Callithrix jacchus: one gene and its partners. The protein of the gene in region 2 interacts with the protein of the main gene of each other region in a biochemical or structural test. Links are inferred from orthologs where the notes say so. Each region holds a gene or a part of one and is shown on either strand. Other genes may lie near its edges. The genes, in order: IGF1R, ARHGEF12 and RPS6KA1.

Region 1 (3,648 bases), on a different chromosome or scaffold from region 2:
ACTCCTTTGTACAGTGCCTGGTTTCCATCTTTGCGGAAAGGAAACAGGTTTCTTGAGAATCTGTCACAATAAGCAGAGATTCCTGTTTTCCAAACGCTACAGTGAGCTGCTGGTCAGGGTTACTTCCACATTTTAAGATGAAAAACTTATTGTGTTGCATTAAGCCTCTGCTACACCAACACACACCCAGGATCAGAAGCCTGTGCCAAATTTATTTGTATCATCACGTTACCCAGTGACATGACTGTGGCCATGCACAGGATCATGGAAATAGGGTAGGAGGGGAGGAAGCAGCAGGAATGCACAGCAAAAGGTTCTCCCTGCCAGCATTTTATCCTCACCTCCTCTCTGCCATTTAAACTCATTTTGTGCTAGCTTGTGAGTATTTAAAAGTACCTTACCCACTAAAATAATGGCTATTATAAAAAAAATGTTTCAGTGCTGTGGACTGAACGCCTGTGTCCCACCCCAAAATTCACAGGTCGAAATCTTAACCCCTAAGATGATGGGATTAGGAGATGTGGCCTTTGGGAGGTGACTGGGTCATGGGGGTGAAGCCCTCATGAATGGAATCTGGGCCCTTCTATGAGAGGCCCTGAAGAGTGCTCTGGCATCCCCACCACCATGCAATGACAATGAAAAGACAGCCATCTATGAGCCAGGGAGTGGGCCCTCTCCAGACACCAAACCCACCAGCACCTTCATTTTGCACTCTGGGACTTCGGAACTGTGAAACATTTCTATTGTTTATAAGCCACCCAGGCTATGCTGTTTTTTGTGACAGAAGCTCCAATGGACTAAAACAATCAGTGTCTTTAAACCTGAAGTGCATTTTCCTACTTCTGAACTAGTTTTTATATACTCAGAAAACACTTATGTTTGCTTTTATTGTTTCCAGATCTGGAGTTGAGAAATGAGGTGGTTCAGAACCTGAAGACAGTGGAAGGAAGGAGGAACATCTTCATCAGTGAAAACTTTGACTATCCACAACATACTACATCTGCCGTCTTTCAACTTTTGCTGACCTCCTTGGAACTCCACAGGCTCCAGAATGACGATGGACACCAGGGAGCTACAGGAAGTAAGTGGAACACAGATCACTTTCGGTTCCTGGAGACTGGAACATCAAAACAAACAAGGAAGAAGGGCAGCCGGAGATGACTGTTTCCTGGCTGGGCCTTCCAATGAAACCAGCCCAGCACCCTGGAGGACCTGGGCTCATAGGCACAGAGCAGGAACGAGATGATGGAAGATGGTACCAAGGCCAGAAGGTGGCACGAAGAGCCTAACATGTTAGAAGTGGGGATATGGGCCAGGCACGGTGGCTCATGCCTGTAATCTAAGCACTTTGGGAGGTGGAGGTGAGCGGATCACCTGAGGTCAGGAGTTCAAGATCAGCCTGTCCAACATGGTAAAACCCCATCTCTACTAAAAATTCAAAAATGAGTCGAGTGTGTCAGGTGCCCGTAGTCCCAGTTACTCTGGAGGCTGAGGCAGGAGAATCGCTTGAACTCGGGAGGCAGAGGTTGCAGTAAGCCAGGATCGCACCACTGCACTCCAACCTAGGAGACAGAGACTCCGTCTCAAAAAAAAAAAATGAATGTAACACAGTATTACCTATTGACGAGAAAGACAACAGCCATAGCTCACTGCTAATCCTACAACAGCACCATGTATAAGCAAGCCCAGTGAGCGGGCGAAGAAGCGTGGATGCTGAGGGCTTGTCTGGGCACAGATACCTGAAGCATTGGTGCGAATGTACAAGATCTCACTCTTGGCCCCACGGATATGGTCGTTCTCCACCATGGTGAGGGTTACAGCCTTGACGTAAACAGCGTACTGAGTCCAGGGCTTCAGCCCATGCAGTAAGACACCGGGCTCCACGTCCTTGTTCTGGGGGAGGTCCACATCCACCATGTTCCAGCTGTTGGAGCCACAGGCGTCCTGCCCATCATACTCCGTGACATTCTTAAAGGGTCTGAAAGACAATCAAGTTCAGAGAAGGTTCAGGGCTCTGACATTCAAACACTCAAAAACCTTCCCCAGAGGCCCAGCATGTCACACGCTCTATAATGGGAGGTTTAAAGAAAGAATCAATTAGACTTAGAAGAAGAAAAGGAAGCGACTGAACTCCGGGCTTCCCCAGTCGTGCACTACAGACTTGAATGCTCTGCCTCAGGAAGAGCCAGTTCAACAGTTACTGGGTTTCACTAGTGACTGCTCCTTAAGAACATATGCAAATACTATTTTTCTCTCTTCTGACTGCAGCATTTTTTTCATCATTAAGAAAAAACAAGCATAGTCAGTTAATGCAAATATCGGATACTGATAAAAGGTAACTGTTAGAGAAAAAATGACTTTCCTACAAACAGAAGTAGCCTCTAAAATTCAAATTGCTCATACACAATTCTGATGCTCAAGCACGTTATAATATTCAGATATTTAGTTTCCAGATTGCCTTAGAAACTAGCATCAAGTCCTTAGTGAAATTACCCGCTGACTTTGCCGAAGCATTGGTGCGACTGTGAAAGGGAACACAGTGTTTTACACAGATGCATGGCTGGGTAGATGCTTTACATCTATCAGATAAAAGGGCTGGGCAGCTGCTGGCCACTGGCTTCTGAAACAAACATTAACAAATCTATACCTGCTATCATGATGGGAGGTCACGAGGGGCTCCCCTATGTACAAATCCTGAAAGCCTAGAAATCCTCATATCCCATTTCTCATCCATAGGACCCCAGCTCTGGCAGAAGAGAGTATAAGATGCCGTCATAAGGTGCCTCTGCTTTCTGCTCTTGGGAAGCCACGTACCTGGCTTCCCAAGAGCAGAACTATGGGATTAAGATGGGACCCGGGTAAGGTGGATGGCTAACTAGACCGGGGTAGCCACCTGGATACAGGATGCAATGGAAGGAAGAGGAGGAACAGAGAGCTGCCGTCGGAAGGAATGAGCCTTGGTTGCTTAGGTGGGTGAATGTCATGTGGTCGCACAAGAAAAGCTCCCAACAGAGTCTGGGAGAAGTCACAAAAAGCTCAAGAAATGATGGCTGTTCTCTCTCCACTTTCCTTCGCTTGTTTGGGAGGCTCATTACCTGGAACGGAGGGCCTCAGCTTGGGAGAGGCACAGAGAGAGAGAGACAGGAATAAGATGAGCCATGGGTCACCTCGGTAGAGCCATGTGGCTGCAGGGTGTTCCTAGAGTAGGGCTAGTGGGTAAGGAGGCTGAAACAATATTTCAGTGAAGTCCCCTGTCATCGATTATGAGTCTGGTCTGACCTAATTCTGGAAAAAAACAAGCTTTCCCCACTTTGGGTTTATTTTATTCAAACATCTCTAATCACTTACTAAAGAATGACAGGCCTCAAAGCTAACACTTTCCCATTGGTGGCTGTCACTGGCTGTGACTCACATCATGGGGACAGCCCAGGAGGGCGCATGAGATGAAGTGGGGATGCTTGGCATGGCTCTCCCTGGGGACCCTGCTGACTCCCCGCATTCAGCCAACCCCTGCAAGGACCAAAAGACTGGCCTCTCCCACTCGCAGCCCTGTCAACAGAATGGCATCACCCAAAGCAGAAACTCACGCTTCCTTGTAGAAGACGGTGAAACTGATGAGATCCCTGTAGTCGGGGGGCCGGTACCGGT
Region 2 (3,648 bases):
CTTTGCTCTTCTTACTGAACTCTTACTCTCAGTAAATAGTCTTATCCATTACATACACTAAATCCTCACAACTCTATTCTAATACTTATATATCTTTCCCACATATTCTACCTTTTCTTTCAGCTGGTTTCCTACTAACAATTAAAAATAAAATCTCTAGTTAATCTCAGATTTTTAAAAAGTCTTCTTTAGACACCTACATCTGCCTCTAACTACCACCCAGTTACTGACCTCAATATTCCCTTTACCTTTCCTTGACTGGACTTGGCACAATTTACAACTTTTATATTTGTGACTATCACTCTCAAGAGAGTAAGCTGCATGAGGCAAGCATCTGTGTATAATTATGGCACGTTAACATCTGGGACAAAGCTAATGCCTGACAGAGAGCTTAGTAAATACTTTTTGGACAAATGAGAATTAAAATGATCATTCAGCATAAATTTATTATTGGTTGTAGCATATTAAAATGTTAAAATTAAACTGGGATTTAGTCTTGATTAAAATAATTTGCCACTCTACTTTTCAGTTACTGTTGTTTGTTTTGAAATCTTGATGCTTATTGAGCTGAACTATAGCATTAGCTCACCTGTATCATTCTCTTTCCCTCCTTCCTGGGAAAAAGAGGCCCCTGAAGCTACAGAAGACATGGAATTGGCAGGCAGGTATCCAGTGTCTGTTCCTTCATTTGCTAACCCACTCTGGCGCAACTTGGCAGAGTCCTGAGGTTCAGGACTCACAGATGAGGGTGTGGATAAGTGCTTAGGGTGGCGCGCCTTCTGTAGTTCCATGGCTCTGCCAACTGAACAGAAAATGATGGTTAATAGTCTGTATTGCAAACTAGCTGAAAAGAAAAAAACGAAAATGTAAAAGAATCTGGAACAATGTCTGAAACATGGTGGACCCTAAAAATATATATAGTGAATTATTATACAGAGAAACATACACACAGATGAAGGAAGGAAGAAGAGAAGAGAGAAAAGGAGAGGAAGTTAGAGGAGAAAGATGGGGAGATGGAGGAGGGATGAGGATGAGGCAGTAAGATGAAGGTGAGGAAGAGGAGGAAGTAGGGAAAGAAGGAGGGTCATGAGAAAAGGAAATAAGGAGAGCAGTGATGGACAGAGGGAGGAGGAATGCTGAGAGACAGACATGGAGCTTTGCTCATTTGTAAGAATGAAGATGAAGTCCTTTATATTTGTGAGTTCTTAGTAAGCTGCCACCCCAGTTCTCCCCCAAACACTCACAACTTCATCATCACAATGTGCCTCACAGATCATTCAGACCAATCCCCATCCTGCTAATTATCCTGTTCACAAAGTCACCACAAGAAGCCGAAGACTCCCACTATGGTCTTCATCCTCCATAGCGTTCTGTACCCTCACACAGCTTTTTATACCCATCTAACCCCACCTTCCCTAATTCCTCAAATTCTTCTTTTGTATCCCTTGGAATTCACGGATAGCATCTGTGAAATCCACTATATCTTTAACTTTCTCTAAAAATTTCCCTCCTTCTCCATGTTTCTCAACAAGGGGCACTACTGGCATTTGAGTAAGGACTCCTCATTGTGTGGGACATTCACTACCAAAGGTCCACTCCCACCACTCTACCATGCCAATATCTTTTTTTTATTGAGACAGTGTCTCACTTTGTCACGCAGGCTAGAGTTTAATGGTGAGATGATGGCTCACAGCAGCCTTGACTCCCCAGACTAAAGCAATCCTCCTACGTCAGCCTGCCAAGTAGCTTAGACTACATGCATACACCATGATACCCAGCTCATTTTTGTGGTGGTGGTTGTTTTTGTAGAGGAGGATCTCTCTATGTTGCCTAGGCTGGTCTCGAACTCCCAGCTCAAATAATCCTCCCACCTCGGCCTCAGAAAGTGTTGGAATTACAGACAAGAGCCACTGCACCTGGCTTCAGTGTTTTCAAATGTGGTACTGCCTGAGATAAGAACCATCACATGACCCCTTCCCATGGTACCACCATCCCTATTTCTCCTGCAGCCATCCCAAGTGGGCTGATCTCTATCAGAAAATAAAGTAGAGATGTGGAGAAATTTTAGAAGTAAGGAGACTAAGTAAGTATGTATAAAGAGGCTAAACAGTGTGGTGGAGAGATATATACACACTTTTTTTTTTAATTTAACAAATACAAGTTGAAAGCAAACAGAATCAGAAGAGGTAAGTAAACTATGTTATGGACATTTGACAGAATACTGCCACTAAAGATGTTTATGACAATTATGTAGCAAGAGAGCGGGTACTCAGTTCAGAAATAATGCTGAACGGAAACAAGGCATATTAAGCGTTCAGCAACATTATCTTAACAACTCCTTTTTCCAGAAAGTCATTCTAGCCAAGAAGCCTCTGATATGAAGAGGGTCTGGAATAGTGAAAACATACCACTTCAAACGTCAACATACTTGCACTGTTGTCGTGACGGCTTGGTCTCCGTGGGGGTCCCAGGATACTGGGGAATCCTCTTCGCTTCCCTTTTTCTTCCCCTTCTTTATCTTTCTTCATACTTTGCTAGAGTTGAAGTACAAAAAATAAGAGATATGTAACAGAGTAAATTTCTTTTGCTATTTTCATAGTGTAATGCTAATGATTAGCTCAAAAAAACTGTTAAATGTAAATGAAAACCCGTGCATATGTATGCACATACACAGAGTGCTCATTAAAAGTTCACACAGTACTGTGTACACCTCAAACTCAAGATGTTTTCGCAAATCCTTCATCACTGACAGTTGGAAAAAATCAAAGGGTAGCTTTATAGCACATTTACCAGGAACTTATTCTATTAAGAATTCATTCATCCATTCAACAAATATACTAACAGTTGAGAATATAATAATAAAAAAGGTCCTTATATTCATACAGCTTTCCAATCTAATAAACCCTAAACAAAAACACAACTAATTACAAACTGACAGAATACTGCCACTAAAGATGTTTATGAAAATTATATAACAACATAGGAGTAATTAGTTCAGGCAAAGTAAAAGTATAAGGCTTGAACAGAATCAGAGACAGCACTCTTTGTAAACTGCTAATTTCACTTTTCACATTGTCTAATGTTAGTTTAGTTTATATGTCTGGATTTCTCACTAGATTTTGAGTTTCTTGAGAACAGAAATAATACCTTATACATGTTGGTATAACTAGCATTAATTTGCTGATTAAGTAAATACGAAGACAATGAATGGAACACACTGCAACCAGATGTAAAGCAGCCCTAAGGCCTCAACATGCTATTACATTATTTCAGTCTTACCTTGATTTTTGGAAGAAATCCAATCCGACCCCGCTTGTGCTCCAAATTTCGAGGCTCTTTCACTTTTACTCCCAAATGCTTCATATACATGAGAATAACATACTGCATGGTGGAACTGGAGGAGAAAGGATGAAGTAAATTAAGCTTCTGAGAAGGGAGGGTTAGTAGAATAAAGACATCAAATGATTTCCAAAACCCCAAGCTTGAAATTATTGAAATTAATCAAACAAAAACTAAACAACTATCTAGTCATTGCACAGAGAAAAGAATTCTACTCAGGACAACAGTAGAATATTAGTCAAATAACACACAAGCCACCAGAGGGAGACCACAATCTTTATTTGTAAGTTAAAAGAAATAAATTGTAAT
Region 3 (3,748 bases), on a different chromosome or scaffold from region 2:
TCTGCTATCCAGCACTGTGGTCCTGCTTGGACTCACCCTCTCTTGCCTTGCCCAGCTGCCTCCCTGGGCTCCCTGCCTCTTTACTCATGCCGTTCTCTCAGGCCCATGAGTTAGAGGCCACAGAGGTCTCCCTCAGACTCTTCTAGCATCATGAAGCAACCCTGCCAATAGTCAGAACGCCTCTGCCAGACCAGCTTGGTATCTGAGGGTCCCTCCCCTGAAAAACACATTGCATTTATCCAATTTTTTTTTTTTTTCAGACAGAGTCTCACTCTGTCGCCCAGGCTGGAGTGCAGTCTCCGCCTCCCAGATTCAAGCGATTCTCCTGCCTCAGCCTCCTGAGAAGCTGGGATTACAGGCATCATGCCTGGCTAATTTTTGCATTTTTAGTAGAGATGGGGTTTCACCGTCTTGGCCAGGCTGGTCTCAAACTCCTGACCTCGTGATCCCCCCGCCTCAGCCACCCAAAGTGCTGGGATTACAGGCGTGAGCCACTGCGCCCAGCCATGCATTTATCCTATTACTACCTTCCAGACCTTCACAGCCAGTCATTGGCACTTGGCTTAGGGGAAGGGGATTGGGTGGGGAGGGATGGCTGAGACATAGGCCTGTCTCTCCGCTTTTGAACTAGGTGCTCTGAAGACAGAGCTGTCTTCCTTGCCAGAACCAAGGTCCCTGAAGTGTGGGCTGCCTCCCTCAGCCCAGCCTGGGTTCTGCACAGGGAGGTGTCCCTACTCACCTTTCAATGTCGCCTTCTTCAGCACCTTCATGGCATACAGGTGCCCACTGTCAGGCCGGGTAACTTTCCGCACCAGGAAGACCTGAGAAGGCAGAGCAGGAAGCAGGGGATAAGATGGGAGATGGGAGAGGGCTGAGTCCAGGCTGGAGTGCAATGGCGTGGTCTCAGCTCACCACAACCACCACCTCCCAGGTTCAAGCGATTCTCCTTCCTCAGCCTCCCAAGTAGCTGGGATTACGGGCATGCGCCACCACACCCAGCTAATTTTGCATGTTTAGTAGAGACGGGGTTCCTCCACGCTGGTCAGGCTGGTCTCGAACTCCTGACCTCAGGTGATCTGCCCACCTCAACCTCCTAAAGTGCTGTGATTACAGGCGTAAGCCACCATGTCTAGCCTCTTTTTTTCTTTACTTTTTTAAGACAGAATCTTGCTCTGTCACCAGGCTGGAGTGCAGTGGCGTAATCTCGGCTCACTGCAACCTCCACCTCCTGGGTTCAAGTGATTCCCCTGCCTTAGCCTCCCAAGTAGCTGGGACTACAGGTGCCCACCACCACACCCAGCTAATTTTTTGTATTTTAGTAGAGACAGGGTTTCACCATGTTGGTCAGGATGGTCTTGACCTCCTGACCTTGTGATTCACCCACCTCAGCCTCCCAAAGTGCTGGGACTACAGGCATGAGCCACTGCGCCTGGCCAATGACCTGTATCTTCTCTGAGCCCCAAGCTGACCTTTTTGCTCTCCGTGGGTACCAAGGTGACCTCTGATACTTTGGGCCCATAGGTGAGCCTTGATCCCCACCTCCAACATGACCAACGTTGCCTTCACAGCCATGGGCTCATGACTCACTTTGCCGAAGGATCCCTGGCCCAGAACCTTGAGGAGCTCGAAATGGGATGGATCAGCCTTCTCAGAGCCAGCCTTGACGTGGTGCGTGATGGAGATCTCCTTGAGGACGCCCTCATCCTGATGGAGGGATAGAGCTGGTGGGCACAGTGGGCCCCATCTGGGCAGCAGGAGGCATATCCCCCCTGCCCAAGTCCCTTCCCACCAGACCGCAGCAGATGGGACCTAAAGGCCCAACAGATGACTTCCCTGAAGGGCTAGCCTCCAGGGACATCAATTTCAAAAGGGCCTCAAAGGTTGGTGAGGTCAAACCAGAAAAGGTACCACTCCTATTGCTCCTGATGCTCTGGATGGCCCAGAGGGATGCCCAGGCATGGCCAGGCTCAGCTAACCCGACTTGGCTGAGACCCAGAGACCTGTCCCAGGTCTGCCCGTGGGGCTTCCCTCCCCCTGCTGTTTTAGTTTTGCCACAATAGGAAGTAGGTTTGTTCTCATATGGGGAGGTAGAGCTGGGCCTTCATTCCTGGTCAGGATGGGAAGAGGGATCCCTCTGGTCAGTAGGACAGGGCTGAGGTGCACAAAGACCCAAGAGTCACCCAAACTCCCCCATCGACTTGGTCAGCGCTGGCCTGGGGCAGGTCAGAGTTAAGGCCGGAGATTGCATGGCTCATCTTCCCAAACTTCCCTCCTACAAACCTATTAGAAGTGCCTTGCCAGAGCCTCACTGTTCCAGGACTCTAACCTCCCTCCAATCTGCTGGTATTACCTTGAAGCCCTCAAGTGCCTCTTCACCTCCCCAGGAAGCAAGTCTGGGCAGGGTCCAGTCACCCCTGGCAGGGCCAGGACAGACCAAAGCCAACTTGCATTAAGCTAGCTTCCCAGGCACCTGTGCGAGGGACACAGCCAGGCCAGGACCAGACATCCGGGCACACTCACCAAGTCCTGCTGGGAGCCAGAGCCAAGGCCAGGGACAGGCAGAGAGGTCTGGCTGATCCTGGGCCGGTGCTTCCTGGGCAGCCAGGGGAGCAGGGCCCAGAGCCGCAGACGGGGCGGCTTGGGATCCTGCTCCATCCGCCCAGCAGGGCCACAGCACCATGGCAGGAGCAGGCAGCGACCAGGGCTGCCGCGGAGGTGGCCCGGACCAAGGCGGATGTGCAGGGTAAGGGCGGGGGCTGGGCCCGGCCCAGGGCAGCCAATCACTCAGGGTCTGTGGTTTCCCAGCTCCAGGCCTACACCCTCACCACGTTCCCTTCCTCTCTCCCCACTCCCCAGTGTCTGAGGGCTGCCCTCTGGCCATTCCCCCATCCTCCCTTTGCAGAGGCCTGCAAGGGGAAAGCCCCCTGCCAATGCAGCTGCTGAGCAGACAGGTACCCAACAGCAGATAGGTACCCAACAGGCAAAGACAGATGCCTGATTTGTGGAGGCAGACGAAGAGAGACACCCAACAGGCAGAAGCAGGCACCCAAGAGGTGGAAACAGATAAGAATGGCATCTAATAGTCAGGGGCAGGAGGGAACACATACCCAACAGGCAGGGATGGATAAGGATACCTATCCAACAGGCAGAGGCAGGAGAAATTCATACCCAGTAGAAAACAGATGGAGACATGTACCCAACAAGAAGCAGCAGGAAGGGACTCATATCTAACAGACAGAGGTGAACAGAAGCTCATCCCCAATGTGTGTAGGCAGATAGGGGCACAAACCCAACAGGCAGAGACAGAAAGGGACATGTACCCAACAGCCAGAGACAGATGGGGACATGTACCCAACAGGCAAAGACAGAAGGGGACGTAAACCCAACAGGCAATGACAGAAGGGGCCATGTATCCAACAGCACAGAAACAGATGGTGACATGAACCCAACAGACAGAGGCAGAAGTGGACACGAACCCAACAGGCAATGACAGAAGGGAACATAAACCCAACAGGCAGAGACAGAAGGGGACAGGTACCCAACAGGCAGAGACAGAGGGGACATGTATCCAATGGCAGAGATAAATGAAGACATAAACCCAACAGGTAGAGACAGAAGGGGACATGAACAACAGGCACCTAACATGTGACATGTGCCCAACAGGTGAAGGCAGGTACTTATCAAGTGGAGACAGAGATTGTAATCCAACAACAGACACAGGTAGGCAGCAAAGAGAAACAGCCAGTGT

What was found.
Region 1: the proteins of ARHGEF12 (region 2) and IGF1R form a complex in vitro, tested with the Homo sapiens proteins (2 studies listed by BioGRID and IntAct, with this or other methods). The link is inferred for Callithrix jacchus from reciprocal best matches to the Homo sapiens genes ARHGEF12 and IGF1R.
Region 3: the proteins of ARHGEF12 (region 2) and RPS6KA1 interact in a test that uses a peptide from one of them, tested with the Homo sapiens proteins (2 studies listed by BioGRID and IntAct, with this or other methods). The link is inferred for Callithrix jacchus from reciprocal best matches to the Homo sapiens genes ARHGEF12 and RPS6KA1.

What each region holds. Positions count from the first base shown.
Region 1 is NC_133507.1:10,997,959-11,001,606, reverse strand, and holds part of IGF1R (insulin-like growth factor 1 receptor), read right to left. Parts: coding exon 3,588-3,648; intron 1,979-3,587; coding exon 1,740-1,978; intron 1-1,739. UniProt on the Homo sapiens protein: Receptor tyrosine kinase which mediates actions of insulin-like growth factor 1 (IGF1). Binds IGF1 with high affinity and IGF2 and insulin (INS) with a lower affinity. The activated IGF1R is involved in cell growth and survival control.
Region 2 is NC_133511.1:20,095,470-20,099,117, reverse strand, and holds part of ARHGEF12 (rho guanine nucleotide exchange factor 12), read right to left. Parts: intron 3,395-3,648; coding exon 3,280-3,394; intron 2,535-3,279; coding exon 2,429-2,534; intron 803-2,428; coding exon 590-802; intron 1-589. UniProt on the Homo sapiens protein: May play a role in the regulation of RhoA GTPase by guanine nucleotide-binding alpha-12 (GNA12) and alpha-13 (GNA13). Acts as guanine nucleotide exchange factor (GEF) for RhoA GTPase and may act as GTPase-activating protein (GAP) for GNA12 and GNA13.
Region 3 is NC_133508.1:63,192,777-63,196,524, reverse strand, and holds the start of RPS6KA1 (ribosomal protein S6 kinase alpha-1), read right to left. Parts: upstream 2,712-3,748; 5' UTR 2,656-2,711; coding exon 2,521-2,655; intron 1,705-2,520; coding exon 1,588-1,704; intron 822-1,587; coding exon 740-821; intron 1-739. UniProt on the Homo sapiens protein: Serine/threonine-protein kinase that acts downstream of ERK (MAPK1/ERK2 and MAPK3/ERK1) signaling and mediates mitogenic and stress-induced activation of the transcription factors CREB1, ETV1/ER81 and NR4A1/NUR77, regulates translation through RPS6 and EIF4B phosphorylation, and mediates cellular proliferation, survival, and differentiation by modulating mTOR signaling and repressing pro-apoptotic function of BAD and DAPK1.